Oryzias latipes: one gene and its partners. The protein of the gene in region 2 binds, or shares a complex with, the protein of the main gene of each other region. Links are inferred from orthologs where the notes say so. Each region holds a gene or a part of one and is shown on either strand. Other genes may lie near its edges.

The links.
Region 1: snrpg (region 2) and gemin5 share a complex: the UniProt entries of both Homo sapiens proteins name them as parts of the SMN-Sm complex. The link is inferred for Oryzias latipes from reciprocal best matches to the Homo sapiens genes SNRPG and GEMIN5.
Region 3: snrpg (region 2) and cwc15 share a complex: the UniProt entries of both Homo sapiens proteins name them as parts of the minor spliceosome. The link is inferred for Oryzias latipes from reciprocal best matches to the Homo sapiens genes SNRPG and CWC15.
Region 4: snrpg (region 2) and snrpd1 share a complex: the UniProt entries of both Homo sapiens proteins name them as parts of the SMN-Sm complex. The link is inferred for Oryzias latipes from reciprocal best matches to the Homo sapiens genes SNRPG and SNRPD1.
Region 5: snrpg (region 2) and gemin4 share a complex: the UniProt entries of both Homo sapiens proteins name them as parts of the SMN-Sm complex. The link is inferred for Oryzias latipes from reciprocal best matches to the Homo sapiens genes SNRPG and GEMIN4.
Region 6: snrpg (region 2) and rbm48 share a complex: the UniProt entries of both Homo sapiens proteins name them as parts of the minor spliceosome. The link is inferred for Oryzias latipes from reciprocal best matches to the Homo sapiens genes SNRPG and RBM48.
Region 7: snrpg (region 2) and snrpf share a complex: the UniProt entries of both Homo sapiens proteins name them as parts of the U7 snRNP complex. The link is inferred for Oryzias latipes from reciprocal best matches to the Homo sapiens genes SNRPG and SNRPF.

Annotation. Positions count from the first base shown.
Region 1 is NC_019872.2:29,392,423-29,395,588, reverse strand, and holds part of gemin5 (gem-associated protein 5), read left to right. Parts: intron 1-888; coding exon 889-962; intron 963-1,162; coding exon 1,163-1,344; intron 1,345-1,757; coding exon 1,758-1,897; intron 1,898-1,964; coding exon 1,965-2,136; intron 2,137-2,206; coding exon 2,207-2,389; intron 2,390-2,459; coding exon 2,460-2,513; intron 2,514-2,583; coding exon 2,584-2,712; intron 2,713-2,832; coding exon 2,833-2,928; intron 2,929-2,996; coding exon 2,997-3,134; intron 3,135-3,166. UniProt on the Homo sapiens protein: The SMN complex catalyzes the assembly of small nuclear ribonucleoproteins (snRNPs), the building blocks of the spliceosome, and thereby plays an important role in the splicing of cellular pre-mRNAs.
Region 2 is NC_019865.2:4,866,768-4,870,524, forward strand, and holds snrpg (small nuclear ribonucleoprotein G), read right to left. Parts: upstream 2,462-3,757; 5' UTR 2,348-2,461; coding exon 2,316-2,347; intron 2,173-2,315; coding exon 2,150-2,172; intron 1,996-2,149; coding exon 1,871-1,995; intron 660-1,870; coding exon 609-659; 3' UTR 501-608; downstream 1-500. Other genes in the region: zinc finger protein Xfin, read right to left, coding at 3,710-3,757. UniProt on the Homo sapiens protein: Plays a role in pre-mRNA splicing as a core component of the spliceosomal U1, U2, U4 and U5 small nuclear ribonucleoproteins (snRNPs), the building blocks of the spliceosome.
Region 3 is NC_019872.2:16,000,765-16,004,792, forward strand, and holds the start of cwc15 (spliceosome-associated protein CWC15 homolog), read right to left. Parts: upstream 2,801-4,028; 5' UTR 2,701-2,800; intron 2,345-2,700; exon of another isoform or gene 2,342-2,344; 5' UTR 2,335-2,341; coding exon 2,204-2,334; intron 1,401-2,203; coding exon 1,288-1,400; intron 1,180-1,287; coding exon 1,079-1,179; intron 218-1,078; coding exon 107-217; intron 1-106. UniProt on the Homo sapiens protein: Involved in pre-mRNA splicing as component of the spliceosome. Component of the PRP19-CDC5L complex that forms an integral part of the spliceosome and is required for activating pre-mRNA splicing.
Region 4 is NC_019869.2:22,965,507-22,969,454, forward strand, and holds snrpd1 (small nuclear ribonucleoprotein Sm D1), read right to left. Parts: upstream 2,801-3,948; 5' UTR 2,669-2,800; coding exon 2,655-2,668; intron 1,251-2,654; coding exon 1,174-1,250; intron 1,099-1,173; coding exon 907-1,098; intron 701-906; coding exon 624-700; 3' UTR 52-623; downstream 1-51. UniProt on the Homo sapiens protein: Plays a role in pre-mRNA splicing as a core component of the spliceosomal U1, U2, U4 and U5 small nuclear ribonucleoproteins (snRNPs), the building blocks of the spliceosome.
Region 5 is NC_019871.2:19,886,961-19,891,178, reverse strand, and holds the start of gemin4 (gem-associated protein 4), read right to left. Parts: upstream 2,801-4,218; 5' UTR 2,730-2,800; coding exon 2,642-2,729; exon of another isoform or gene 2,590-2,641; coding exon of another isoform or gene 2,580-2,589; intron 1,868-2,579; coding exon 1-1,867. Other genes in the region: tapasin-related protein, read left to right, coding at 3,080-3,125, 3,232-3,408, 3,479-3,754, 3,837-4,166. UniProt on the Homo sapiens protein: The SMN complex catalyzes the assembly of small nuclear ribonucleoproteins (snRNPs), the building blocks of the spliceosome, and thereby plays an important role in the splicing of cellular pre-mRNAs.
Region 6 is NC_019869.2:21,761,586-21,765,568, forward strand, and holds rbm48 (RNA-binding protein 48), read left to right. Parts: upstream 1-1,430; 5' UTR 1,431-1,445; coding exon 1,446-1,607; intron 1,608-2,068; coding exon 2,069-2,259; intron 2,260-2,341; coding exon 2,342-2,487; intron 2,488-2,703; coding exon 2,704-3,239; intron 3,240-3,245; exon of another isoform or gene 3,246-3,330; coding exon 3,331-3,393; 3' UTR 3,394-3,483; downstream 3,484-3,983. Other genes in the region: pex1 (peroxisome biogenesis factor 1), read right to left, coding at 160-243, 343-489, 1,129-1,236; efcab1 (EF-hand calcium-binding domain-containing protein 1), read right to left, coding at 3,544-3,594, 3,667-3,771, 3,896-3,983. UniProt on the Homo sapiens protein: As a component of the minor spliceosome, involved in the splicing of U12-type introns in pre-mRNAs.
Region 7 is NC_019881.2:20,375,325-20,379,335, forward strand, and holds the start of snrpf (small nuclear ribonucleoprotein F), read right to left. Parts: upstream 2,801-4,011; 5' UTR 2,666-2,800; coding exon 2,663-2,665; intron 2,067-2,662; coding exon 1,941-2,066; intron 5-1,940; coding exon 1-4. UniProt on the Homo sapiens protein: Plays a role in pre-mRNA splicing as a core component of the spliceosomal U1, U2, U4 and U5 small nuclear ribonucleoproteins (snRNPs), the building blocks of the spliceosome.

The DNA of each region.
Region 1 (3,166 bases), on a different chromosome or scaffold from region 2:
TTCAGGCTGAGACTGGCGGCGAGTTTCTGCCGTTACAGGCTGAGAATGGCGGCGAGTTTCTGCCGTTTCAGGCTGAGACTGGCGGCGAGTTTCTGCCGTTTCAGGCTGAGACTGGCGGCGAGTTTCTGCCGTTTCAGGCTGAGAATGGCGGCGAGTTTCTGCCGTTTCAGGCTGAGACTGGCGGCGAGTTTCTGCCGTTTCAGGCTGAGACTGGCGGCGAGTTTCTGCTGTTTTAGGCTGAGACTGGCGGCGAGTTTCTGCCGTTTCAGGCTGAGACTGGCGGCGAGTTTCTGCCGTTTCAGGCTGAGAATGGCGGCGAGTTTCAGGCTGAGACTGGCGGCGAGTTTCTGCCGTTTCAGGCTGAGACTGGCGGCGAGTTTCTGCCGTTTCAGGCTGAGAATGGCGGCGAGTTTCTGCCGTTTCAGGCTGAGAATGGCGGCGAGTTTCTGCCGTTTCAGGCTGAGACTGGCGGCGAGTTTCTGCCGTTTCAGGCTGAGACTGGCGGCGAGTTTCTGCCGTTTCAGGCTGAGAATGGCGGCGAGTTTCAGGCTGAGACTGGCGGCGAGTTTCTGCCGTTTCAGGCTGAGACTGGCGGCGAGTTTCTGCCGTTTCAGGCTGAGACTGGCGGCGAGTTTCTGCCGTTTCAGGCTGAGAATGGCGGCGAGTTTCAGGCTGAGACTGGCGGCGAGTTTCTGCCGTTTCAGGCTGAGACTGGCGGCGAGTTTCTGCCGTTTCAGGCTGAGAATGGCGGCGAGTTTCTGCCGTTTCAGGCTGAGAATGCCGGCGAGTTTCTGCCGTTTCAGGCTGAGAATGGCGGCGAGTTTCTGCCGTTTGTCCTGAAAGCAGCTGAGCTGCACCGACCCTGAAACTGATCTTTATCTCCAACAGCACAAGCTGTCTCCACACACCGACCTCAGCTGGAAGCCGGATGGGAAAGTCGTTGCCATCGGTAACGAGGATGGGTGAGTTGTTTTCACACGTGAACCCTTAGAAACGCCAACCAGACTTTTTGATCTAATGGTTAAAACATCTGAAGCAGAGATGAGGAGCGGTGGAGCTTTGAGGTTTTCTGTCAGGTTGCATCACAAAGTAAACATGTCAAAAGTTGCTTGTTTTCCTGGAAACTGGCCTCTTTCACCGGTCTTTTCATCTCTTTCATCAGGTGCATTGATGTTTTCCAAGCCCCCAACCTGAAGCAACTGTGCAGCGTCCAGCAGCACCACAAGATCATCAACTCGCTGCGGTGGCATCACCAGCACGGCTCCGCCTCAGAGCTGCACACGCTCCTGGCCTCGGGCTCCAGCAACGCCATCGTCTACGTGCACGACCTCCGCTCCGTGATAGGTGGGGACCTTACGTTCACAACAATAGTCACATGACAACACAAGCGTCCAATAAACGGCTCCAACCTGCTCTGAATCCTCCCAGTTACCCCACTGTCAGAGAGGATATGACCGTTTCTGGGATCCCTTCAGAATTCTCATCTTCTTCACCTTCATCCCATTTTGTTGTTTGGTTTCCTTTGGATCAGTTTATCAAACATCAACTGTCGTTCAGGACGAATACTTGCAGTTTGGATGTAGATTTAATATTTCCAGTTTTGAAACTTAGGTCTACAACTTTACACGAAGACGGATGGATGGATGGATAAATGAATCGTCAGATGGATGAATAGGTGGATAGCTGGATGGTTGGATGGATAGATGGCAGTAATTCCTTATGGAACCCACATCTTTACGAGTCTTCCTGGTCTTCAGAGAACCCTCCAGAGACTCCTGTGGTCCTGACGGAGCCGTACCGGCGGTTGTGCGGTCACACAGCCAAGATCACCGGGATGGCGTGGAGTCCACATCACAGCGCTCGGCTGGTCACGGCCTCGTATGACGGCACGGCACAGGTCTGCTGCTCCACACAGGTGAAGCCAAAATGCTGTTCTGAGGTCTGATGGGCGGGTCTCGTTTCAGGTGTGGGACGTCCTGGAGGAGGCGCCCATCTCTAACTACCGGGGTCACGTGGGGTATCTGCTGAGCGTGGACTGGTCCCCCGTTGATCCAGACGTGATCTGGACCGGAGGAAAAGACTTCACCGTGCAGGAGTGGAAGGTCTCCCAACAGGAGTTCACAAAGCCACCTAAAGGTGACGATGAGGCTCTGAGGGGGGATCCAGCCAGGTCCTCCTGCTCACGACTGACATGTTCTCCTCCCAGGGAGGAAGATGAGCACGCTGCAGGAGAAGAAGAAGTCCGGCTCCAAGCAGAAGAAGAAGAGCAAGAGCGCGCCGGGGCTCGGAGGAGATGTGGTGCCAAAGATGAACGGCGACGGAGAGAAGGATCTGTCTGAGGAGGAGGAGGAGGAGGTCGGCTCCACGAGCAGCATGCATCCTCCAGGAGGTGAATGCGTCTGAGGCCTGAAGGATTCATGTCAAATCGCATTTTTCTAATCATTTTTTCCTTTTTTTAGCATCTTTGGAGAAGAAATCCTCATCTGTCTCCAGAAGTAAAGAGAAGCCACCAGGTTTGTGTCTGATTCTTGTTCAAACGGCTTTTTCTTTGGGTTCTGAACATGTCCCTTGCTGGCTCCGCAGCAGATTTGAGCCTCCTGAAGAAGAAGAAGCCTCGCTCCATGCTGCCCCTCAGCACGTCCATGGACCACCGGCCCAGGGAGGAGCTGCTGCAGGACTGCGTCACTCTGGCCGCCGTCAGACACGCCTCAGGTGAGAGAAAACTGGCAGATGGTCTCCAAATGCAAAATAAAAATGTCAGAAAACTTAAACGAGCTTAAGTCTTCAGTTCGACCCTTTTTTCACAAAGCAGGGCTGATTGTGTGTTTTCAGCGCCACCTGCTGGCTGCAGCCCGGGACATGGCGACCATGTCCACCTGGGCCTGTTTGCAGACCGGCGGGCTCTGCGCCTCATGCTGGAGGCAGAAGGTTTGTTGGTTCTCCCTTCCTGGCTTTGGGCGTTTCAGCGTAACGTTCAACTTCCTGTCGACCCTCAGAGGAAGGTCACGTGCAGGCGGGGCACTTCGACTCGGTGGTGTACCTGCGGCTGTGGAGCGGAGACCTGCAGGGGGCGCTGCAGCTGGCAACGGAGAAAGGAGAGCTGAACGACCACCTGCTGTCCGTCGCTGCGATGGGTAAAGAGCGGGAAGATGCCGGTTGAAGTGTC
Region 2 (3,757 bases):
TTTAGAAAAATTGGTAACCCTTTGTTTTAGTGTCAAGCAGCTAATGTTTTTAATTTTAAAATACCTTAAATTTTTTTCCTTTCAACGTGGAAACTTTTAAACTTGATAGAGCTCAAGAATAAACAAACTGAATCCAACTTTTTAATATTTTATGAACAAATACTTGCCTGCTAGTTTATAACAAGTTTGCCAGCTCATGAATGGAAATTACGCATATCTTAAATATTCAGCTGACTTTAGGTCTATCAAATTATTAAAATAGTTCAGCATTTATGTCTTCATCACCAGCATTCCCAACATTGTTTAGCCATTATAGCTTTTTAACAGCTAAGCTATAAAAAAAGCTTTCGAATTCCTTAAGATAAGACTAACCCTAACATTTAAGATATTCTTTTTTTGTTTAGCAGCTCATCCTCCATTACAAAAACACTAAATTCTTGCTGCATCTACAGGAAAGAACACATACAGTAACATTTCGTAAAACCAAACAAATGCACGGATAAAAAGAAAAATAGTTTATTAACAAACAAACATCTCAAAACCAACAGACTTTCATTGTGAATGAACTACAATGGAATGAGAAAACAGGAGGCGCCGCTGTGCTCTGCTCATACTCGCTCCAAAGCCTCCAACATGATGATGCTGTTTCCTCGGATGACCTTCGGGAAGACAAAAGGAAAACAGATCAGATCTTTTCACGTTTACACATTTATTTTTACACAATTGTGTGTTGAATAAGAGAAATGTTCTAGTTTGGGAAAAACTACTAAACCCTTTCCTGAGGCTGTCACATCAGGAAAAACCACGAACCTGCCAACGTTTGGTTTCACAGATATTCACTGGAACAGGCAATTGTTATTTGTTCTTCCGTAAAGACAGGTCAGTTTTGTTTCAGATAAACTAATTAGACATCTTTGGAAAAGCTGGAGTATTGGGGGGGGGGGGGGGGGGGGGGGGGGGCAGTATAATATATTTAAGAGAGATTTTCAGTAGGCATTGAGGCTCCCCTGTTGGTCTGGATGTATTTATTTTAAGTAGTAATGAACTTTTGGCTACACATAAAAATGTGGAAATGTTTTCCAGTAACCCTGCTTTATTTGCAGCTAGTCACGTGGATCAGGTGGATTTCATCAAGCAGAATCTGCAGCTTCCCGATCTAGAAAACCAGTAGCAACTAGAATACAGATGCCTGGAAAACAAACGAGGAAGTCTGTCTTATCAATATAATGTTATATTTACAAGAGAAAGTGGATAGAATAGGTTCTTTGACTAAAGAATTTTGAATAAACTTCGAAACAAAATTTGTTTTTGTAGAAAAAATTAAAAATTAGTTGCCGGAAATGATCAAAACCACTAAATGACCAACTGGGATTGCTTTAATTTATTTACTTTGACATGTTCTTGTGGCATTTTTCTGATGAGGACATATATTTAAAAAAAATATGCTTAAAATTGCTTTTCTGCGTATTTCTTTATTCAAAATGTAGTGAATTAAAAGGAGTTAAAAAAAAAGTAATTAAAACAAAAAAAGTGTATTTGTGAGGTAGAAAATTTTCTTTATCAAAAAGATGATTTTTAGAACATTTACATTTTTGTTACTAACTAGCAGACCCCTAACATATTTTATTGGTTCATATTTCTTTATAGGATTGTCTGGTTTGTTAGGAAAACAGTTGTGCATGTTTTTATAAATCTATGTAGACAGCACTCAAATTGGTTCAAATTGTCAAAAGATGGAATTGCTAATAAAGATAAAAATAAATAAAGAGTATGATCTTTAATTGAACCTATTCGTCCTGCTATTACGGGTGGGGTAAAACATTGAATTAAACTATTCCCTCATGCTTCACAGTTCTGCTCGGACACTGACCACCATCCCGATGGTGTTCTGCTGTCCCCCGGGGCCCATCTCCAGACAGTCGTCCATCACCAGGTTCATGAAGGGGTCGAACCCTCGCAGGATGCCCTGGACGTGTCTGCCTCCATTCAGCTTCACTGAAGAAAACAAAAAGAGCAAACTGATGAACATGAAGGCTGCTAGCTTAGCTAAAAGCGAATTTAATTTCACAAGAAAAAGCCGGCGAATGAATAGAAATATAGTGTAATTTTGAAATATGTATTAAATAATGAAACGAGAGTTTTAACTCACGGGAAAGCTTTTTGTCCATGAATCTGAAAGACAAAAACATTATTTAGATTTAGCTTCAATTCCTAGCTGTTCCGGCTAACGGTGGCTAACATGGAAACATACTACAATCTCGCGAAAAAGACCGAAGCTATCAGGCCTATCATCTTTCAAAAACTTGCAAACTTACTTCTTTAGCTCTGGTGGATGCGCTTTGCTCATGGTGTCTGTATTTTAACGAAACAAAGTCGTGTTTCAATTCACAAAACCGCGTAGGAAACGCGTGTGGACCGGGAGACCGGAAGTAAAACCCTGTGACCTTTGCTGTGCTGCGCCCTCGTGCGGCTGGGAGGAGTAATCTGGTTTAAAAAGGGATCAGCCAAAGGCAAATAATACTATTTGCAGTTAGAAAATGACCAAAACAACTATAAAAATACATGCACATGAAGTGTGTGATATATTTTATATATATATATATATATATATATATATATATATATATATATATATATATATATATATATATATATATATATATATATATAGAAAACCTTAAAAAACTCATTGTATTAATAGATTTTTATTTGTGCAAAAGCACAGCTGATTAGTTTTATTTTTTTTTGGTTGAACATCTGAGCTGTAATGATCAAAAGCAAAAATAAAATCAAACATACATTTAAAAAATGCGACAGTTTGTTTTACTTTTTCCTTTACAAAGGAAGATTGTGAAAAATTCCCAAAACATTTTTCAAACTTTAAATCATCACAGTGACACTGAAAAGAGCCGCTGAAAATAACTTTAGAGAAACAAAACTTTGAGGCGGCTGCTTTTGTTTGCATAGAAAGGAGATACAATCCACGTTTCCTGCTATCAATAAAGACATCAAAAACGTTTTTTATGAAGCAAAGGTTTATAGGAATTCATGCTAGACCCTCAGAAAAATGGAAATCTCATAAATTCGCACTCACTAAAAAAACAAATGGCTGAGATTCAACCCAAAATCTACCAAAGAGAACAGCCAGCCATTCAAGAGGATGTTAGCATCCATTACTTCATATTTCCTCACTAACATGACCTGAGCTACCTTAACTTTAAGAGGTTATGGGAACATTTTGAAACTATGATAAATTTGATAAACTATGATTTTTACTTTTACAAGCAATTTTAAAGAAAAAAGAAAAACAGCTTCATTCATCCTCAGTAGGATGTTGTTAGCAAGTTACCATGGTGATGTGCTCATGGAAAGCTGTCCTGACAAAAAATAAAATGTAAGAATTAATAATTATATATTTGCTGATTATTTGGAAGAAAACAGCACAATTTGACAAAACACATTCAGTGTATTAAAGACATAAATGATGATGTTAATCAGTGCTTTCCCTCTCCAGGAAGTTTAAGTTTTGATGGGAAAATAGCTTTTGAATCTGCCAGGCGTTGATTCAAATTGTAACAACTTTATTAACAAACAGAAAGCAGAAGGCATCGCACTTTGATGAGTAAACAAAAAATCAAATGTTCTCTTCAACCCTGAAGATGATAAAGCAAAAAAAAAAAGGCAGCTGTTGGACACATTCTGTTTCCCATCAGGCTTTGCTGGCCTGCTGTGCCAGCGCCTCCGACTCTCGGTCCTC
Region 3 (4,028 bases), on a different chromosome or scaffold from region 2:
CAAGAATCATATTTTTCCTTGATTATTAAAACATTGTGTTTGAACAAAGTCATGCTGCTGACTGTAAACACAGAGGTACCAAAACAAAATGGATCAAATGTTTTACTTTGCGTTCTTGCTCTTCGGCTCGCTCCTTCTTTATCTTCTCAAGCTCAGCCAACAGAGCTGCAGTGTCGTCATCATCACTATCTTCATCAGAGTTCTCATCCTCGTCATCCTGTGAAGAGGAAGGATTTTAGAGAGGATTAAGGCTGCAATGGCCTCATGCAGCACAACTATGGCAGAATGGTGACAGCCCCCATGCACTGCTGACGTTCTTTTCCACTGTTTAATGACTTTTAAATAAGTTGACATTTTCAGACGTATTCTCAATAAAAGACATTTACAAGAGAGTACATCAGTCTTTATTTGTAGTGTGCACACTTGGACACTTTTAAGTCAGCTACAGTTATCAGTTTAACTAATGCCACCTTGTTGGAGGTACCAGTGCTGGATGTGTTGCTGGTAGCTGTAGATGTGGATGAGGTTCAGCTTCAGGAGCTGTACTGTGGGACCGACCATAAGAGGCAATGCAGGGAGTTTAGCCTTTAAATACACCAGCCTGGCATTTGGAGAGCCCCAGTCTGCTCAATTTTTCCAGAGGAGGAACAACGGTCATATTTAAATCAAGTTTGTTTGCCACACTTTTTAAATTTTGTGTACATTTTTTTTCTTGAATGAAAAAACTAAGTTTTAAGTTTACCCACAATTGTTCTTTTAGGTGGTCTGATCAGCTAAAATTAACCACAAATGAACCATCTGGGATGTTTCAAGTTTAATGTGTCCAAAGCAGAGAAGTTGTACAAAAGAAATTGTTTGTTAAAAGTCAACTTTACAGTGATTTTTCCCCAATTAAGTCAATCCAGGCATTTTATTGCTAATTTTAATATTTACAGTCTTTAAAGAGAAAGTTTTATAGCACTAAAATATCAATATCTATTCAGATCATGTCAAGTGCAACAGCGAGAAAAGGTCTCATCTCCCAGCCGTAGGTGTACTGATGAAATGTTTTCTTTATTATATCAGTGCAGACACTTACATCAGTGAGAGGGTCATCAGCATCAAGGTTAGCAGCTGGAATCTGATCCAACCTGGGCCTCTTTGATGATGATGAAGATGATGAAGAGGATGTAGTGTGTTCTGGAGAGAAAAAAATGTAAAGACTGCATTTACAGAAAAATACATACTTTGCTTGGTTTATACTTGTGTGTCAAAAACAGTAAGTCTAAAATTTTGATAGAGACTAACCTCTTGGTCCCCTCTCTCTGGTCTTCTCACGTGCTGCTACACGCTCCTTCTCCTCCAGTTCCCTACGGAAATCACGGGCACGCACCTCCTCGGGGGCATCCTGAGTGGGCTGTCTAAGGGATCATAGCATTTTCAAGACTAAGTCCCACTACAAACTCCAAAAACCACTCATGAGATAAATAGTAACATGTACAGTTGGGGGAAAAAGTATTTCTCAGTAACATATTTAGCAAATTGTCTAATTTAAAAAGATGAGAGGTCTATGATTCCATCATATACACTACAACTGTGAGAGATTGAATGCATATTAAAAAAAAATATATAGCGAAAATTGTAAAAATATTTTTTGTAGAACTTGCACAATTGGTAAATGCAAACCACCCCTCCTACACACTGTAGCTACAATTTAAACATAACCTGCAGCAAACAAACCATCAAGAATTATCAATACTAAATGATGTACTCCAAATGTACAAAAGCTTTATGGTTATACAATTTAGTTGATAACCATTTTAATACTGAGCAATGACTTATTAGATGCAAGATATTTGTGAGCAAATTATTTAACATTTTCTTAAGGGTCATGGAGAGACACTAAATAGACAAGAAAATGCACACATGCCCCCCCCCCCCCCCATGTCATAAACTGATTCATGTGATGCTCCAACGTGAGGTTAGCTTAATTGTACCCAACACATTATACATGTAGACATTTAATCAAGTGTAGATTTATGTTCCACTTTTTAATAATTATAGCACAAAAAGACTAATTTAATCAATCCGGTTTGACCATTTCCCAAATAATTCAGATTGAATCTTCGAGAATCTTAACATGATTAAATATGTTTCTTTCAAACAATCGCTTTCTTTTTCAACTGAGCTGTCGCAGCAGAGTTTAATAGGAACTAAAAACCACCTGTATTTGATCTTGGTGTGACCTGGAAGATCTCGGCTGGAATATTGCTTGGACAAGGCACTCAGATCGCCTTCTCCTTTTCCTCTCCCTCCTCTCGCCGGCTCAAACGTTGGTCTTGCTGCGGTAGTCATCCCTAACCTGCTTCAACAACAACACGGTATTTGTCAAACATGAGTACAGTTATTTTCAGTTAGCTACTGTACTTTAAACGCAGAACAAACAAGGTAACATCAGTTGTATATAACAAAACATATACATACATTTATCGATTAAACAGACTTTAATACTTATAAAGGGTATTACTAGCCACCAAATTTGATTATGCTAACACTCAGACAAGACAAAAAACTCATTTTGGGCTCTTTAGAAAACTTATTTGTTTTAAGATTCACTGCACACTAATCAAACGAGATGTATGGCTACATTTATCATATTTATACCGTTTTAACAAAAAAACATCTGTAAAAAAACGTCTTTGACTTGGAAAAAATACTCACGATTCCACTACACGGCTAGCGGAAAGAGGATACCATAGAACGTCACTTCCGGATTGAAATTGCTGTTGCGCATGCGTCAAGAATACGATTCTGTTGGTGCGTTTAAAAAGAATTGGAAAATGCATTACTCATTTCAAATGTAATCTGATATTTATCGTAAAGAAATTACTATATTGTACCAAAGGAGAAAGAATTAGCACAAAAATGCTTTGTTACACCTTTCTTTTTCAAAATGCTGTGGTGATATTCCAGGGTACATGGTTGAATTCTAAAGCATTACAGCCAAAAATGTCTATTACTGATTTCAGCAAACCAACACTCACATTTAAAATGAAAAACATATAAAACCTTTGAGCACTGGTGTAAACAAGGAAGTGTTTACGAGGAGTCATCTTGTCTCTTCTTTTGAAGTAACCGGTAGAATTACTGTAGAAATGTGCGATTAGGGTTTGCAAAACATTTTACGTGGCCACCATGGGGCAATGTGCATCAGGTTCAGTGTCTTCCTGTAGCTTAATTTCTCCACTCAAAGTGAACATTAACATCACAACATGATTTTTAAATATAGTTTATTCCAAATTGAACACATTATTTTTAACTTTATTTAACAGTCTTGATACGTAGATTCTATTAAACATAATTGAAACACTTGTAACAGATGTAAAATTCCTGTCTTTTTCCATTTTAGACCTGATGAGTCTTCATCCTTAGGTTTTGAGATGTTCTTCTCAGATAATATGCCTTCCTCTTTAAAAGGATGTTTCTCTGGATTTGTGCCGTTGGACTCTTTGCTGCCTTTGGCTTTAACTTCAACTACAGAAACACTGGTTTATATTTGTTCAGTGTTTGCTGTTTAAGTTTGATGAGTTTATTTTATTCTTTTCCAAAGATATATCAATACATAATTGTGAAAATACAAATCTAAAACACCTCTTAGGCTCAAAAATACACTCTTAAATGAAAGGGAGAAGAGAGAACATGATTTGCCCCTTTTCCCCTTAATACTGAACAATATTTGGATTGCACCAAACTTGTCCCTCCCCTCCAATGTTTTAAGAAATGTCTGAGAAATGACAAAAGTATTAATCAATTTATAAATAATTTAATGAAAATCAGGCATAACTCTGGAATTTTTGTACAATAATTAACTAGTGAAATGACTGGACAAAGTATTGGTAACTTAAACTTCATATTTTGTTTTCTGTGCCTTTCAATTAGAATTCTGCACCTGTTTGCAGACATTTTACCAACTTTTTGTTAAAAAAAAAAAGCTTCATTTTTAGTGTGTTTGGAATGATTGCTATGCTGGAAGAGCCAGCTATGTTCTG
Region 4 (3,948 bases), on a different chromosome or scaffold from region 2:
GAGATCTTCAATAACAAACATAAGTTTTTACAATGATGTCAAAATTCAAAGTGGATTTTCTTTATTTTATTGGAAACTTATGTGGGTTAAGAGCCAGCCCATCTAAGTATTGGACAAAAGGTTTTTACATTTGCAGTCATCAACATCCACACCATCCACCAGAGGTGGATCAGCAGTATCTGGAACATCATCAACAATAAGTTGAGATGTAATCAGTTCCAGAAACTGTGAAAAAAAACCTTATCAACCTATTTCAATCACTTATAGGAAAAGTGAAAACTAATCAAGCCAATTAAAGAGCCAAATATTACAAAGAGAAAAAAAAAGATTTATTCTTCTTTGATGCCAGTAGAACAGCTACATTTTCAGCCAACTTTGCCAAAGACACAAGAAGGTATAAAAAAAGCAAAAAACAGATGACATTTTTACCCAGTTTAAATGCTGCTCAGACATTTTATTCAAGATGGTACAAATTATGAATCAACAGCATCCAAAACCCCCTCGCGGTCTTAAACAACCCACGAGTATAAAAAAGAAAAACAACCCTAAACTTACACTTAGATTCACTTTGCGTCCACCGCGCAGTACAATTAAAAGCTGTACAAACAGTTGGGGCTCTGAAATCATCTCCGTGGTCCACCTCGCCCTCGTCCTCTTCCTCTGCCACGGCCCCGTCCTCTGCCTCGCCCCCTACCAGCAACTGAGAACAAGAAAGGCCAGATTCTTTCACCATACTCGTGAAAAAAAAAAGTTTTAATCAGCAGAACAAAACATTTCTCAAAGAAATAAACAGCAGATTTACACACCCATGATGAATATAAATACTGTTGAGGGATTTCTTATCGCAGAAAAATCCTTCTCAACTTAATACAATTTTCCAGGTAAGAATGTGCCCAAATCTCCCACCTGCTTCTCTCTTCTTGGACTTGATCTTTGGTTCAATGTCGACCAGCAAGGTGTCCAGTGGAAGACTGTCTGGCAGGATGAAGTAGCGAATGTTGTTGCCTCGGATACTCAGGGACTCCAGCTGAGTGGGTTCCCTGTTCTTTAGGGTCATTTTCACCGCCTTCAAGTGTGTGTTCATGCTTACATCAACACCTATTAAAAAGAAGAAGAAGAGGATTTTAAAAATGATTTAGTTCATTTATTCGTCTCTAAAGTGTTTGCTCTCACCTGTGATGGTGCCATGGACCTGAGTGCCATTCTTCAGTTCAATGGTAACGGTCTCATGACTGAGCTTCATCAAAAACCTGTGTGGACACGGGAGAGTAGCATACATTTACATTTACTTAACCTTTAAGAGTTGTTTTACTGCACTATACTTTACCAAACATACCATTTTGTAATCAAAAAGCAGTACCAGTATAATGTATCTACACTTCAGGGAAAGAATCATTTTCGCAAAAAAAAAAAAAACATGATTTATTGTCATCCCACATGAAACAAAAAAGGTTCACGTGTTTTATTCTTACTCAAAAGTGTATTTTTCAAAAACCTAGAATTGGCACATTCATTTTGGTTTTCTGAATCCAAAAGGCACTTTCATTTAAACGTCAATGTTTTAAAGTGACAATACCATGAAAAAAAATACACTAATAACATGCTGACCTTTAAGCAGAACTAGAACAGGAAAATGTTAATCAATAATTGATTGGTGGACTTTAACAAATTAAAAGCATCATTTTTATGTCTGTTCATATTCACAAAATACAAATGAAATAAACAAAATGTCAAACATAAAAAAAACGAGGGAAATAAACATACTGTGATATGCACCATTTCATACAAAAACTGCATTTGATCCCATACATACTGGATAAAATGGAAGACTTTAAACTCCATTTTCAGATTCACATTTTTTAATGTTTTGTATGAACATTTATGCGGACTTTTTGTTAGAAATAATTGTTGGTAACGTTTTCTGTTAATCATAAAAATATTTTGATAAATTAAATACAATAAAAAACCGCTTTATTAGAAGGTTGGCACCATTGCTGTAGAAGACTTTAATGACTAGATCCATCTTGAATGATCAATTAGCCAACTTACTGCTTTGCACAAAGAAGACGTCTCTCTCTCACAAACATTAGACAGCATTTTTGTACAACACATAAGATTTAACGTATAAAATTGTACAAAATACCCCCCCCCCCCTTTTTGAATGTATTTTTTTTTTAGTATCTAAACAAAACTCGTGTTAGCTCTTAGCTTGTTAGCTTCGGTGGATTGATACTGTTGTGTAAACTGAAAACAAAACATTTGTCTCTTAAGTTGTGGAAATTAAAAACATCCAAAAATAAATACAATTAAATAATGATAAAGCACTTTGAGGAAACGGAAACAACATCTAATAAATTAACCTCCTTTAGTACGATAGTTTTAATAATGCGGGGGGAAATTTGCAAAACCATAAATGATAACGAATCAGCCTCGATCTTTTACAAATATTGCTAAAACAAGCAGTTTAATCCTTGATTAAATAGTTAGCTCTAATGATATGTTTATATGTATTTTTTGAATGAAAACCCAGCAGCCTTGTTCCCGCCTCTCCACACAGTTCATTTGTCTATCTGAACCCATCCGGCCACACAGCCTTTATTTCATCATCCTATCTTAAACCAGTCGACACATCTACAGACCATGCAGCAAATTACCTGACTAGTTTCATGACGAACAGTAGAGAAAAGATCCTCCACCGACGAGAAAAATTACAGCGATCGAGTGAAATCACAGGCCGCTGATGTACCACCAACGTTTGTGTCGCGTTGATATGACGTCAGAAAGAGGCCACCGCTCACCGTCAATGTTGTCTTACCGCCGCCTGGTGGTGAGATGAAGAACAGTCAGTGGAAAGACAAAAATGAGTTGTTTTCTCTTACTCATTGGGTTGGTGGCATCTAATATTCCTTTACTGTCTTTATTTAATTACTTACCAATTACTTTAATTATTAACTGTTTTTCTATGTGTTTTATTGTTTTTTCCATCTAATGCTGTTTTTTTCCCCTCTCAATCTACTCAATTTTAAATGTTATGTTAATGTAAGCCCTTTGGCACCCTGATGCCATTGTATGGTGCTAAAAAATAAAGTACCAGTCATTTATTCATAGATTTCTATTTATGTATTTGGCATTTAAAATTATTAATGGAAATGCCATTTAACAGAGAAACTTTTTTCTTAAATTTTGTTCTTATTGGCCCTTTTTTTGAAGCAACAAAAACAAAACATCTCTGAGAGAACTGCTTCAACTACGAATACTGTTCTGTTTTTATTTATGATCAAAAAATTGTCATAGGAATTTATTCAGGCATTGTTTGCAGTACCGTGAAAAAAGAGAACACAGCACACTGTGGTTCACATTCAGCCAATCATAATTGACCCGATTTGGTAGAAGTAGGCTTTGTGATTGGGTGTCTTCATGTTGGCATCACATGTACATAAAAAGGCAAAGACAGTAAAGACAGAAAAGAAAAAAAAATAACGATTTACTTCCTGATTGATTTCATTTTTTTACCTTTTCACCAACTTGCTCGTATTTAAGGTTATCGATTGATAGAGCTGTTACTTCCAGTACTTGATCAATTTTCAATACGTAACTGTATCCTTTACATCCTTACAAAATACACAAAAAGCTGGGAACCATTGATCTAGGAAAGAAGACAAAAAGAACAAAGGAGCAAACTTTCAGATCTTTTTATTGAGAGTAAACTTTGCATTGATATTTCATTTAGAGTTTTGGCCAAACAGCAATACTTTTTATTTATTGAGACAAGCTGGGAATGTATCAAGTGAAACCTAAAGAAAGTGCAAATTGTTGTATTTAAAAAAAAAGAAAAAAGAAGGTATTTGTGGAGGGAGGATTTAATCAAACAGTGTGGAGAACAAATGCCACCACAACATTCACCATCAGTCCAAACGTGAAAATGCTGAAAAACCCCCAAACATGTCC
Region 5 (4,218 bases), on a different chromosome or scaffold from region 2:
GCAAACTGTTCCTTCTCGTTGGCTGACAGGGACTTGTCCTTGACCGTCTGGTGTAGGCACCTGCAGAGCAGACTAGAGGTCCCGTCTTTAGCCGTGTTCTCCTCTCCGCTCCTCCTTCCATCTCCATCTCCTCCTCTCTGACCGCTGAGTCCAGGCAGATGCTGCAGGATCTTTGCCATCATCGAAAATGCTCCTTTATTGAAAACAGCTGAGTGGCAGCAGGACCGTAAGGCGCCTTCTGGGTTCTGAAAAGCCACTCTGGCTACGAGTGAGACGGCCGTGGTCAGGTTCCCTTGAGGAACAGCTGAGGACGCTCCACTTCCTGCTTGGATGATGCAGTTGAAGGCCATGTTGAGCTCCTGCTCAAACCCTCCAGCCACCTCAGGAGGAACGGGGAATTCGAAGAAGCCCTTCCTAGACAATCTTAACATGGACACCAAGGCTTTGTTCATGTCTTCTAAGGAAAGGCTGGAGAAGATATCTGCTATGATTTTCATCAGCTTTCTGCACTGGCTGACGTCTGCATTCTCCATGCGTAGTTTGTTCATTAGAGTAGAGGAGAGGCCGATCACGGCGTCATGCTGACGGAAGGAAGCTTGGCTCCTCTCCAGGCAATCCATCCAGCCTTCATCACAGTGCGTCCAGGGCGGCTCTCTGGCAAACAAGGCAGCGAAGCTCTCGTGGTCTTCCAGGCGGTGAGTGATGATGGTGGAGAGCACCTGAGCATGCACCTCAGGGCTGCTCTCTGTGACAGGAAGAACCAGAGACTTCAGCACAGCCACGAGCAGGTTCTTCTCTGTCGCTGCTGTGGGAGCTTCTTCCAGAGCAGTGGAGACTCTCTGGACACTTTGCTCCAGCTGGAAAGCAGAGTAGGAGGAGCGAGAGCCGTCCTGGACGTCCAAGAGTCCTCGGTCTTTCCAAGACTGACTAAGTTCTGCTATGACCCTCAGAGCTTCACCCAGATCCATCCTCCTGACTTTGAACTGAGACGGGGAAATCGAAGCCCGTAAATGTCTCTGAGCTTCTTCAACAAGTTCAGGTTGAAGTTTTTCATTCTTTCCTTTAGTACTGATGGCTTTACACAGGATGTCCATCTTCTCCTGAGCTGATAGAACAACTTCTCGGTCTATCAGAAATGATGTAAAAAGAGCATCAAGGGACATGGAGAGAGACTGGAAGCACAGGTCTAATGAGGAGACGTGATCTGCCATGTCTTTGAGGGCATTGAGGAGAATGTGGAAAACATCAGCCTCTGCTGAGTCTTGTGTCTCCAGCTTTAACCTCTTGGCAGCCTGAGGAGACAAACTAGAAGACATGGAGGTGAGACGAGCAACCTGCTTGGCAAACATCATCTCCATGCTCTCGTCGTTTCTGAGCTTGGCTTGCTCTTGGCCTTTCCACAGCTCCCGCCACATCTCTAGAAAGAAATGAACATCCTCTTCGCTTGTAGGCTCGCTCTTCACATGCTCTACCAGCCTCTTCAGCTCCAAGCAGATCAAATCTTCAGGAAGATGAAGGAGAAAACCTGCGTAAACATGTGAAGCAGCAGCGTTCTTCACCAACTCCAACAGGACAACATGGTTAACTTCAGGGAGGCTCTGCTGGAAGGAAAAAAAGGGGTTCTCCCTCCACGCTCTCTCAACATCCTCCTCAGCGCTCAAGAGCTTCAGCCACACAGCACAGACCACCTTCTTCGTCCAGGTCGAGCTGTGATGACCGTCAGCTTCCTCCAGTTCACAGACTTCCTGCAGAGCCTGTAGGATCGGGCGTCCCGCCGCGATCCAGTCGGATTTGTTCACGCAGGATAGAAATGAGGGGCGACACAGTTTGTCTGCCAGCAGGAAAGCCCCCTGCAGAACCGCAGAGCCTGAAATCACATGACATAATCAGAGCCCTGAAGTGCCAATCACATCATCATATCAATGTAAAGACATCTTAAAGATAACAACAACAAAAGCAATAAAATAACAAGAAAACGTTACATTTGATAAATCTAAACAAAATTAAAGCGGGGGGTGGGGTGGGGTGTCAAGTTTTCATTCAAATATGCAGTAAGAAACAAGAATTGCAAAAACAATTTTGTTTTTGCATTCCAGGACTGCTGTGTGATGTTTTAAAACAGTAATTTGTGGATGTGATTTGAACTTCAGGGCCACCGTATCCACAGATAAAAACACCAAAGCTTCTTCTCAACTTTCAGATATGATCTCCAATAAATAACTCAGTTTTCATGGACAGAGCCATATAGTTTTTATTGTGTTTAATGTGTGAGTGTTTGTGTGCGTTCGTCTTTATGTCAGGATCAGTGTAGATCTTGTTGTTATTCACCTTTTGCCAAATCCCTTCAGGGGATCCATATGTCATTCATTTTACCACACCAAACTCAGTTTCCCACAATTCAAAGCGGTTCACCGCGTGTGTAAATCGGTATGAATGCGTCGTGTGTTGGAAAAACAATTTAAATTAAAAAACATTGCTTTTCTTTATTAAATAATATTTTCTTTTGTAAGAATTTATTTTAACTTAAAGTCAGTGACTTAACTGGTCTACAGAGAGAGTAAAAATAAAAGCTATTTTACCTTTGTCCATTATCACCGTGATAATTGTTGCGTGCAGGTAAATACCAGTGTAATCCGTTTACCTGGAAACTCTCTAAACGCGCCGTTACGTTCACGGTTTCCGAAGTTTAAAGTTAGATTTCTGAAACAACATAATCCAACTAAAAACATCCACAGCAGAACTGCGCAGCCGCAAACACGCTTCCGCCATGCGACGCATATACCGGATGTTTGTTCACAGCGACGCACCCGGATAAATTCGGTACTGCAGTTTTAACGTTTTTCTTCGGAGCGAGATTTAAATATTTTACATCAGATTTAAACGTCATTTCATTTGTTATTGTGTTTATGAATATATATAAAAATGTTTTTTTTTTGTTATGGTTTTAATCTTGTAGGTCATGTGACGCGAGCTAAAGGCAAATCGTTTTTTTTCTGCAGAAGTGAAAATGAAAGTACTTTTTAGATCCTGGCTGCTGGTAGAAACAAGGTGAACCAAGAAATTCAATTGAATAATCAAAATGGGAGTATTTCAGAAAGTTGTTATTTACTTTTATGTGATTGGAGGTAAGTTATTTTAAAGTATGTTTGCAGCTGTTCTATCAGTTAGTTCATGAAAGGAACTAAATTTAAATGAAGGGTGTGTTTAATGTTAGTTTTTCTGTGTTCTCAGTTGTGAGGAGCGTTCAGCAGATACCATGGCTGTCATGTCAGTTCACTGACGAACATGTGTCCAACAACAGTGAAGGACACATTGAGACACAGCTCATTCCCAGAGAGGCTATGGTTCAGTTTGGTCTAAAAGGAGACGCTCCTGTCAATCCCCACGCCATCACCTTCCTGATCACTGGTGAGCTTCTGTCCAAGACACGAATCGGGGCAGGAAAGAATTACATTCATGACTTTTTATGTTGCTTTAGTTTCAAAACTGGACCTGCAGCGGTCCATTGAAGGGGTGGAGGTAGAGGAGTTGGAGTGTGAGGTCCGACGGTACAGCACAGAGGGCATCCATGTCCGCTGGCCCGCCCTGGGGGCAGAGGGGTACAACCGCTGGTACACCTGCATCCTCAGACACAGAAAGGACAAGTTCAGCGTCACTGCTTTCCTCAGACATCCGTCTGACCAACCTCCTCCAGGACAGCAGGACTACCGCAGCTGGCCGCCCATCGCCGACCGAGAGGTTCTTACCACCACAGGTAGGTGTCCCCTTCATCTGACGCTGCTTCTGCATGTCAGAACGAAGGCCTGTAAGAGGGTTCATCCTATTTGTGTCCATAGTCGCCATGTTGCTGAAAACAGAGACTCCATCTGTGAAAGTCAGACTACGCTCGCAGCCCAAACTCCACTGTCAGTTCAGCATCGACCACCGAGGCCCAAACGTCACCGTGGAGTGGCACTGGCAGTCCCGCGGAGAGAGAAGGATGCTCTTCCGCTACAACAGCCGCTCCGGGGAGATTCATGGCTCTGGAGTTGGGAAGAAGGCCCTGGCTGGGGGAGATGCCTCCTACACTCTCCCCTTCACCAAGATGAGCAGCGAAGGAAGCTACATTTGTTCTTTGACTGTGAACCCGCTTTTCGCCAACATGGAGCTCAACCTGCACGTCGAGGGTGAGGAGATGATCTAAAACCTGTAATCTGTCCTCTTCTTTTACCATCAGCG
Region 6 (3,983 bases), on a different chromosome or scaffold from region 2:
ATGCAAAAAGAAAGAAAGAAGGGAAAGCTAAAATGACTAACTTTTATTTTGATAATTAGAAATGAGTTTTAGAAGTTGATTATGTTCTCAGGAGATTGATTTCATGATAATGTATAACTGCAATTAGACAAATTACACAAAAGTCAATATTTCACTCACCAAAATCTCCCAGTCATCAGATGACAGTGGCTCCACAAACACCTGATTCAGCGAAGAGACTTGATGGCATGGTCTGAGAAAACACTGTGAAAACCACTCAATGTCAGACCAATGTTAAGAGACTGTTGCACAGGCAGTGTTCGTCCCAGTTGATGACCTAAAGGAAGAAACCAAGGTCTTTACCTGTTCTCCATCAGTCAAACCGAGCTTTTCTCCAAGCTGCCGAGACAACTCCACTCTGTGGCTGTCTGCTCCTAAGGAGGCTCTGATGGGACACCAGCTAAGGAACACTGTCGACCCGCCGTCCCAAGACAGCTCCAAAGCCTGATTCTAAAACGGACCGGCCAAAGAGAGACGATGAAATAAGACACAGAATGGTCTCTTAAAGCGGATGTCGAAATTATGATTCCAACTTTATGAATGTTAGATACTTGTGATACCTTTATTAGTTTTTATTCTTGTACATTTTGTATCATTACATACATTTCAGATTTTATGCTCAGCAGAAGAATTAAATTAAAAAATTGCAAAAATATTCCACAGGTGTGGTAGCAAAATATAGAAATATTGAGATGATCACATTAGTTATTATAATAATCAACCTTTTCTAAATTAAACTATTTCTAGGAGTTAATGTGTTAAAAATCAAAACAATGCAGTTTCCTTTAGACTAAAGACCCCTGAATGAGGACAGTATTTGATGCCCAATTTCTATTTTTACCAACAATTCATTTTTTGTTGCCTTGCATTACTTCCTAATACTAATTAAGTACACGTGATAATAAAAAAATGCTCTGCTTTTGTTATAAGTTTTAATTAAGAAAAACTAAAACCTTAAATGCAACCAAAGGTCCCCTTGTAATGTCAGAGAAACAAACCAGCAATGTGTAAAACACAAAAGCAGTCATTATTCAGTAAACTTTATGCAACAAAACTGAAGCGATGTTAAGTAATTAGCTAATACTTTACCTCATTCAGAGAAAGGTGCGATATCAGCTTTGAAGAGAGTTGAATAAAGCAGTTTTTAGTGTTGTTAAAAACAACACATACTGGTTGAATTCCCTGGTTGCTAAACATGACGTTTACATCGCTATTTTAGCATTTAAAGTGCTTAACATGCTGGTGCGCTAACGGCCAAAGTGCAACAAACATTTCGATGAATGAGAGAACTGATCCAGACAAAACAGTCGATTGTCGATGGAATCGATCATTTCAAAATAAGACTGCCACGTCGTCAACACTACACGTTGAGTGCTCTGCACAACGGAATGAACTCTTGTTTTGAAATGCCACCAAAGCGGAAACGCGTTTCAGCAAACATGGCGGCAAATGTCAACAGTAAACCTGGTTGTTGGAAGGTCCCAGAAGTCTACAAACATCACGAACAACACAACGCATGTTTTTCTAGACCCAAATATAGAGATGGAAGGAGAGCTAAAGCAGTCAAGGTAAGAAAAACGTTTCTAATGTTTGTAGCAAAGACGGTCTGTGTTGACGCAAGCGACGAGCTAATAATTATGTGTAAGTTGGTTTTATTTTTACATTTAAGAATGTAAGAGAAAATTTTAAAATCTTTTTTTTTAACTGGAAGAAAAAAGTATAAATTGTAGTCACACAGCAAGTGATAAATAAAAGACCAACGGCAGGTCTTAAAAAAACAAATAAAACTGTCGTTTTGGCAAAAATAAATAAATAAAATTAAATAAAAGACATGGTAAAAAGTTTGAGTCATTTCGAAAAAATTGTAATTAATAAACCATAAAAATCAAATTTCTAATACAGTAGACTGGATTTCTGAGTTGCAGGAAAGTACATCAGATCTGATGATTATGTCTTTAAGTTAATTGATTTTTATTGGTCACGTCAACAGCCTCACATATACTAATAACCATGCCTTTGTATCTGCCAGGTCTACACAATAAATTTAGAGTCCCGTTATGTGATGATCCAGGGAGTCCCCGCTATTGGAGTGATGGAGGAGCTGATCCAGTTGTGTGCTCTTTATGGAACAGTGGAGGAATACAGACCGCTGGACGAGTATCCTGCTGAGGAGTTCACAGAAGTCTACCTGGTCAAGTTTCAAAAACTGACAAGTGCTAGGTATGGCGGGCACCTTAACTGTACTGCCCTAAACCAGAAATGCTGAAAAATATGTCATTCAGGTTGATATTTGATGTTCCAGAGCGGCGAAACGTAACATGGATGAGAAGAGTTTCTATGGCGGCGTGCTGCATGTGTGTTACGTCCCGGAGTACGAGTCTGTGGAAGACACCAAGTTAAAGCTGCAGGACAGGAGAAGTTATGTTCTGAAAGTGGCTCGGAGTAGAGGTATTATCGCATTTTGACGATATACGGTGTTGAAAAGCACTGAATCTTTTTTTTCTTAGGTAATTGTTTTTTAAAAGTTCAATGAAAAAAAACTGTGATTAAAAAATTTTTTTTGTGTATTTTTATCTGAAATCAAATGTTTTTTGTTGTTTTGTAAGTTTAAAGTATAGATAAAGAATTTGATGAGTGTCATTTATCTGTTTCATGTTTATACAGCAAAAGAAAGAGTAGCGGATGCGGTACACATGGAATCTACGTCTTCAGAAAGCGTTCCCACATCAAGCAGAGTTTTTGCTACAAATAATCCAATCTTCAATAGTGACAAAACAGGCGAGACTTCAAGCTTCAGCCATTGTTCCGGATTTCCTCTACTGCCTTTACCCCCGCAGGAATACTTTCATCAGGATTATCGTGGGAACGAACCAACAGAAGATCAAATGGGGACTTTACATGACGCAGTGCCTCCTGACGTAAAACAGCAGAAAGTCCAGAACTTTAGCTCTTTCAGTAAAGACCCTAATTCCGAAAAAAAATTGGCCTCCAACCCAGATTCTTCCGTCAAGCTTGTTCCAAGAACTGCACATTTGGAAAAGAACAAACGCCGCAAAATGGAGGAGGCCACAAAACAGCCAGTGCCTGATTCTGGAGAACCGTCTTTGATTGGACCAAAACTACCAGAACCACATAAGCTGGACATGAATGATCAGTCGCTAAACACAACAGTAAATCTGATCAGGGGCACAATGAAGCAGGTAGTCTTTTATTTTTTTTTTAATGAGAATTAGAGCTTGACATGATGCCATATTGGTGCATTTCAGTCTCATTCTTTTCATTCATTCCTAGGTGACATCGGTCCCAGACCTCAAACCAGCGGAGAAGAAGGTTAAGCCACGCCGTCGGATATGATCCATTCTGTTTTAGTGACGACTGTCCATATTTATCAAAACTAACGTTGAAAGGCTCAACTTAAAATAAAATTGTACTTTAAGAAAAACATTTTGGCTTTTTCTTTCATGAAAGTCTCAAAGTTGAACACCGCTTGCACTTCATATTTTATTATTCATCTTGCTGCTTTTCCAGTACTTGCTGCTCAAACTTCTTCTTTGTCTAAAAAGAAAGATTTAAGTTAAATAGATCCTTACAATATTTTTAAGCTCAGCAACTTTTGGTTGTGATTACCCTGAAATTGGGCAGGCAGCTTCCAAAGGCTTCAAGGAGTAGCTCCTCCTTTTTTACAGACTTCTCAAAATCTTGAAAAGACAGCCTGCCGTCTTTGTCGTGGTCCTGTGGAATCACAGGAAGCAATGTTGGCATGTTACCAAAATAAATCTGCACACATCAAGACAAAATTCTTACAATCAACATCGATCCAAATGTGACAAAGGCAGATGGGAGGGCAACATCTCACCATTTTTTTGAGGACAATTTCCATCAGTTCGTTGATCTCATCCTGTTCATCTTGATAGTCGTCTTCTCTGCCTTCCTCTTCAAGCCGC
Region 7 (4,011 bases), on a different chromosome or scaffold from region 2:
CCAGCTGTCAGACATCATACAGAAAAGTCAAAACCTCAAACCTTCTCTTCATTTTTCTACCAAATTAAAGATTTGTTAGATTTTACGTTCATTCTGTGGCGCCCTCTGCTGGATTAAACAGTAAACTACTCATAACGTTTAGTTTAAAGATCAGCTCTGATCATCTTAAGATCTAGTGTCAAAGCCTTCCCAGTGGTTCTAATTATGATTACCCAGTTTGTTGTTGTGGCGAAACTGTTGGTACAGAGCAACCCCGCCCCCCTTTCCCTCGGAGCAGGGAGCTTGTTGCCCGCCCACCATATTTTCAACGTCACAAATACGATCTTAATCAAAAGGCATTTTGTCTTCTGCTCCTGATTCATTCTTCATACGTGTTCTCCATCATGAGAAAGATGCCACAAGAATATTAAAAAAAAAAAAGATCTTATGGATTTCTTTGCTGTTTCCCAAATAACCAAATGCAAATTTTCTGTTCTTTTCTACAAATGTTAAAAGATTAACCTTTAATTCCAGCACCCAAGTTTTCATCTAAATACTTATATTTTTCTGTCATTTTTTAACTAATATTTAACCTGAGAAAATTCACTCGACAAAGAATCTACTTTGGAATTTCAGGAAATTAAACATTTTAAAAACAAGTCCAGATATAAGACTTTTTTCTGAAGAGCTTAGAAAAGCGTAAGAAAAGATGTTACTGTTATGGTGGCGTGTCACAGTTTGGTAAAAACCCATTCCATCTGAGGATTTCTGCAACAATCATGTACTTTTCCTGCCGTTTATCACTTTTTTTCTACAAACTAAACAAGTAAAATGTTTATGGTAATTTCCTCTGAGTAAAACACAACAAATGTATTTCTTTTAAAATCTCATAATAAAAGATGACAAAGTTAAACAACAACCTTCATCTAAACAACAAGAGTTTCTTAGCAAAGGTCAAATTTCATGAAATCTAAATATACAAAGAATTATGTAAAATATGGAGAAGCAACACCGGTTTGGTGTGAGAGCTTTAAGGGTCTGAAATCTCAATTTTTTAAACAGATTTCTTTTATTCTACATGTGCTGCTATCTAAACAATAGAACAAAATGGTTTGATATGTTTTGGTAAGAAAAGTTGTTCCAGATTTAGAAATGCTAGCCAACTTTCATGCAGTATCAGGCCGCTGCAGCGACTGACTTACAGACTTAATTGCTCAGTGAAGGACAAAAAAGCTAAATTTGGAACATTTTTAGTTGTGATTACTACGGATAACCCTGATCAAAAAATGAGCATCACAGATAAATACTTAAAAAAAATAAGTGTTTAGAGTTGTTTTGACTTATTTACTGTTTAAATAACAATGTGAGACAACATTTATGATTTGGTTTGAATGACTTCATTGGTTCAGAGAAATGTTTTGTTATTTGTGCCCAGAATAATCTTATTGTGAAAAACCAGAAGTGTTTTCATTTAGAAACTGTATTGAGTTTGTTTTTGACTCTTGGATGAAGCGGAAAGTTCCTGATCAATAATTGCTGAACAGGATCGTTTAGCAAACTCAAAAAAGCCTCCGTCATCTTTGCAGAGGCTGTCACTATGCGACAGGAGCCATTTGACCTTTTTTTAAACGACTTTTTTTTATTAAAATGTTATATGATAGGATAGTTAGAATTTTTGAAAAAAATTGTAAACTGGTACAAGAAAAGCTGCTAATTGGTTTTCCACCAACAGTCGTCTAAGTTAATGCTCAGAATAGAAGACTGAAAACACTGTTGGTCATTTAGAAACATGTATAATAATAACAAACTGAGTACGATAAAAACACTCTTGACTAATTTAAAATAGATTGAATAAATAATTGCATTTACTTTTGAGTAGTTTGCCTCTGTGTTGCAGCTGCATTTTAAAATCCCAGAATAAACCCTGATATAGTTGTGAATGAAGCTAGAGTTGCTTTTACCTGCATGTTCATGTATCCGTCCACAGACACCAGGTAGCCTTTGTACTCCATTCCCCACTTCAGCTTCACCATCACTGGTTTCCCTGTCAGGCCGTTCAGGAAAGGCTTTGGGTTGAGGGGCAAACTCTGCGGCAGAGGGGATTGAAACCTTACATCAAGTCTGCAAACATGACGCTTTTCCCTATGAGATATTTAGAACTTTAAGTATGCGGGTTATTCATGTTATGGACAGTCTCCACGTCTGATTTCTTTACACCACCAATCATCAACAGGAGCGACTGAAGAACCAATCTGGACTGCATTAAAAAAATAAATTGAATAATTGGGAAACAGTACATAAATTCGGTTTTGGAGCAGTTTAATTATTCAAATGACCTATATACTTCTATTAATCTGTTGTATAATGTTCGACCACACTACTACCTGCAGAGGAACGTCATAGTTTTGTGTTGTTCCGACGGACGTTCATTTTCTGATACGGCAACACGTTACCCAAAACAAACAACACTTTAGTAAAAGCTCACTTGAATATCTAACCGTTTCATTTTTAAAGTTTTGTTTTTAGTGTAAGTTTGTTTTCCCCTACGAGCTGTGTAAACCAGTTATGAATGGGATGCTAACATGGCTAGCATAAACGAGCTAACTCTCTTAAATTCTTTGTTTTAACAAACTTCAATAAACCCAAAGGCCGTGTGAAATTACATATTTGAAGAGTTACTCACCATTTTGCTCGATTAAGTTTAGACCCGATTAACAGTAAATTAGAAGTTTATTATGTCTTCGTCACAAAAACGTTTTAGCTTCACAAACTAGAAGCACGCTTTGCCGCCGACAGGAAACGGAAGTGGCATCGAGCTTTTCGCCGCGCCTCACGTCGCCCCCTGGCGTTCTGGATGTATTAGTGCAACAAAAAGACTCGGACTATATTCTGATCACATTCCAGTGCATCTGCTTTATAAAGTCATAATAAAATAATCATAAATAAAATCAGTTTACAAAATGACACAACATCATTCACACAATTAGTAAACAACAAAAAATAAACAAACTATGAAAAAAAACATAAATAAACTATTTTATAACAATGAGACAAGACCAAATGTCAAAAAATAAATAAATAAGTGAAATTAAAAATGATTTATAATCAGATAATATAAAACCCAATGGAATTATAGAATTGTTGTCATCAGCTCCAGGCTGCTGACAACATGTGCTGACGAACTCTCACATTCTGCTGTTTATTTGAAAGGCTTGCATTACCGAGCTTTAATGTAAGAAAATGATTTTAGTTTTGTAAATGTTTCATTTGAGCCTGGAGCTGGAGAAGATGCCAAAACTGTGGATGACATCTCACCATACAGGCACTCACACTCTGTATCAACGCCAGGTAGATTTCACGTTTGCTACAGAGGAATCATGGTGCGAGGCGGTTACCAAGGAGGCAATGGCTAAGTAAGTAAGCTGAGAAGTGTTTATGACATATAGATTGTTGGGAAAACAGTGCGAGAATCAATGTGTGAGTTGGTGGGTCTCATCTTCAGAAGATAGATAGATAGATAGATAGATAGATAGATAGATAGATAGATAGATAGATAGATAGATAGATAGATAGATAGATAGATAGATAGATAGATAGATAGATAGATAGATAGATAGATAGATAGATAGATAGATAGATAGATAGATAGATAGATAGATAGATAGATAGATAGATAGATAGATAGATAGATAGATAGATAGATAGATAGATAGATAGATAGATAGATAGATAGATAGATAGATAGATAGATAGATAGATAGATAGATAGGGTTGGTTTCCCTTTTGGCTTTTCCCATCAGGGGTCGCCACAGCGAACGAGTCGCATGGTAAACTTGGCAATGTTTTACGCCGGATGCCCTTCCTGACGCAACCTTCTCAAAGCAACCGGGCTTGGGACCGGCACAGAAGTAGAGAAGGGAACAGGGAGCAGCCCGGAGTCGAACCCTGGTTTCACGGACGGAAGGCGCCGCAAACCAGCACGAGCTAAACCAGCTCCCTATATATCTATATATATATATATATAAAATTTAA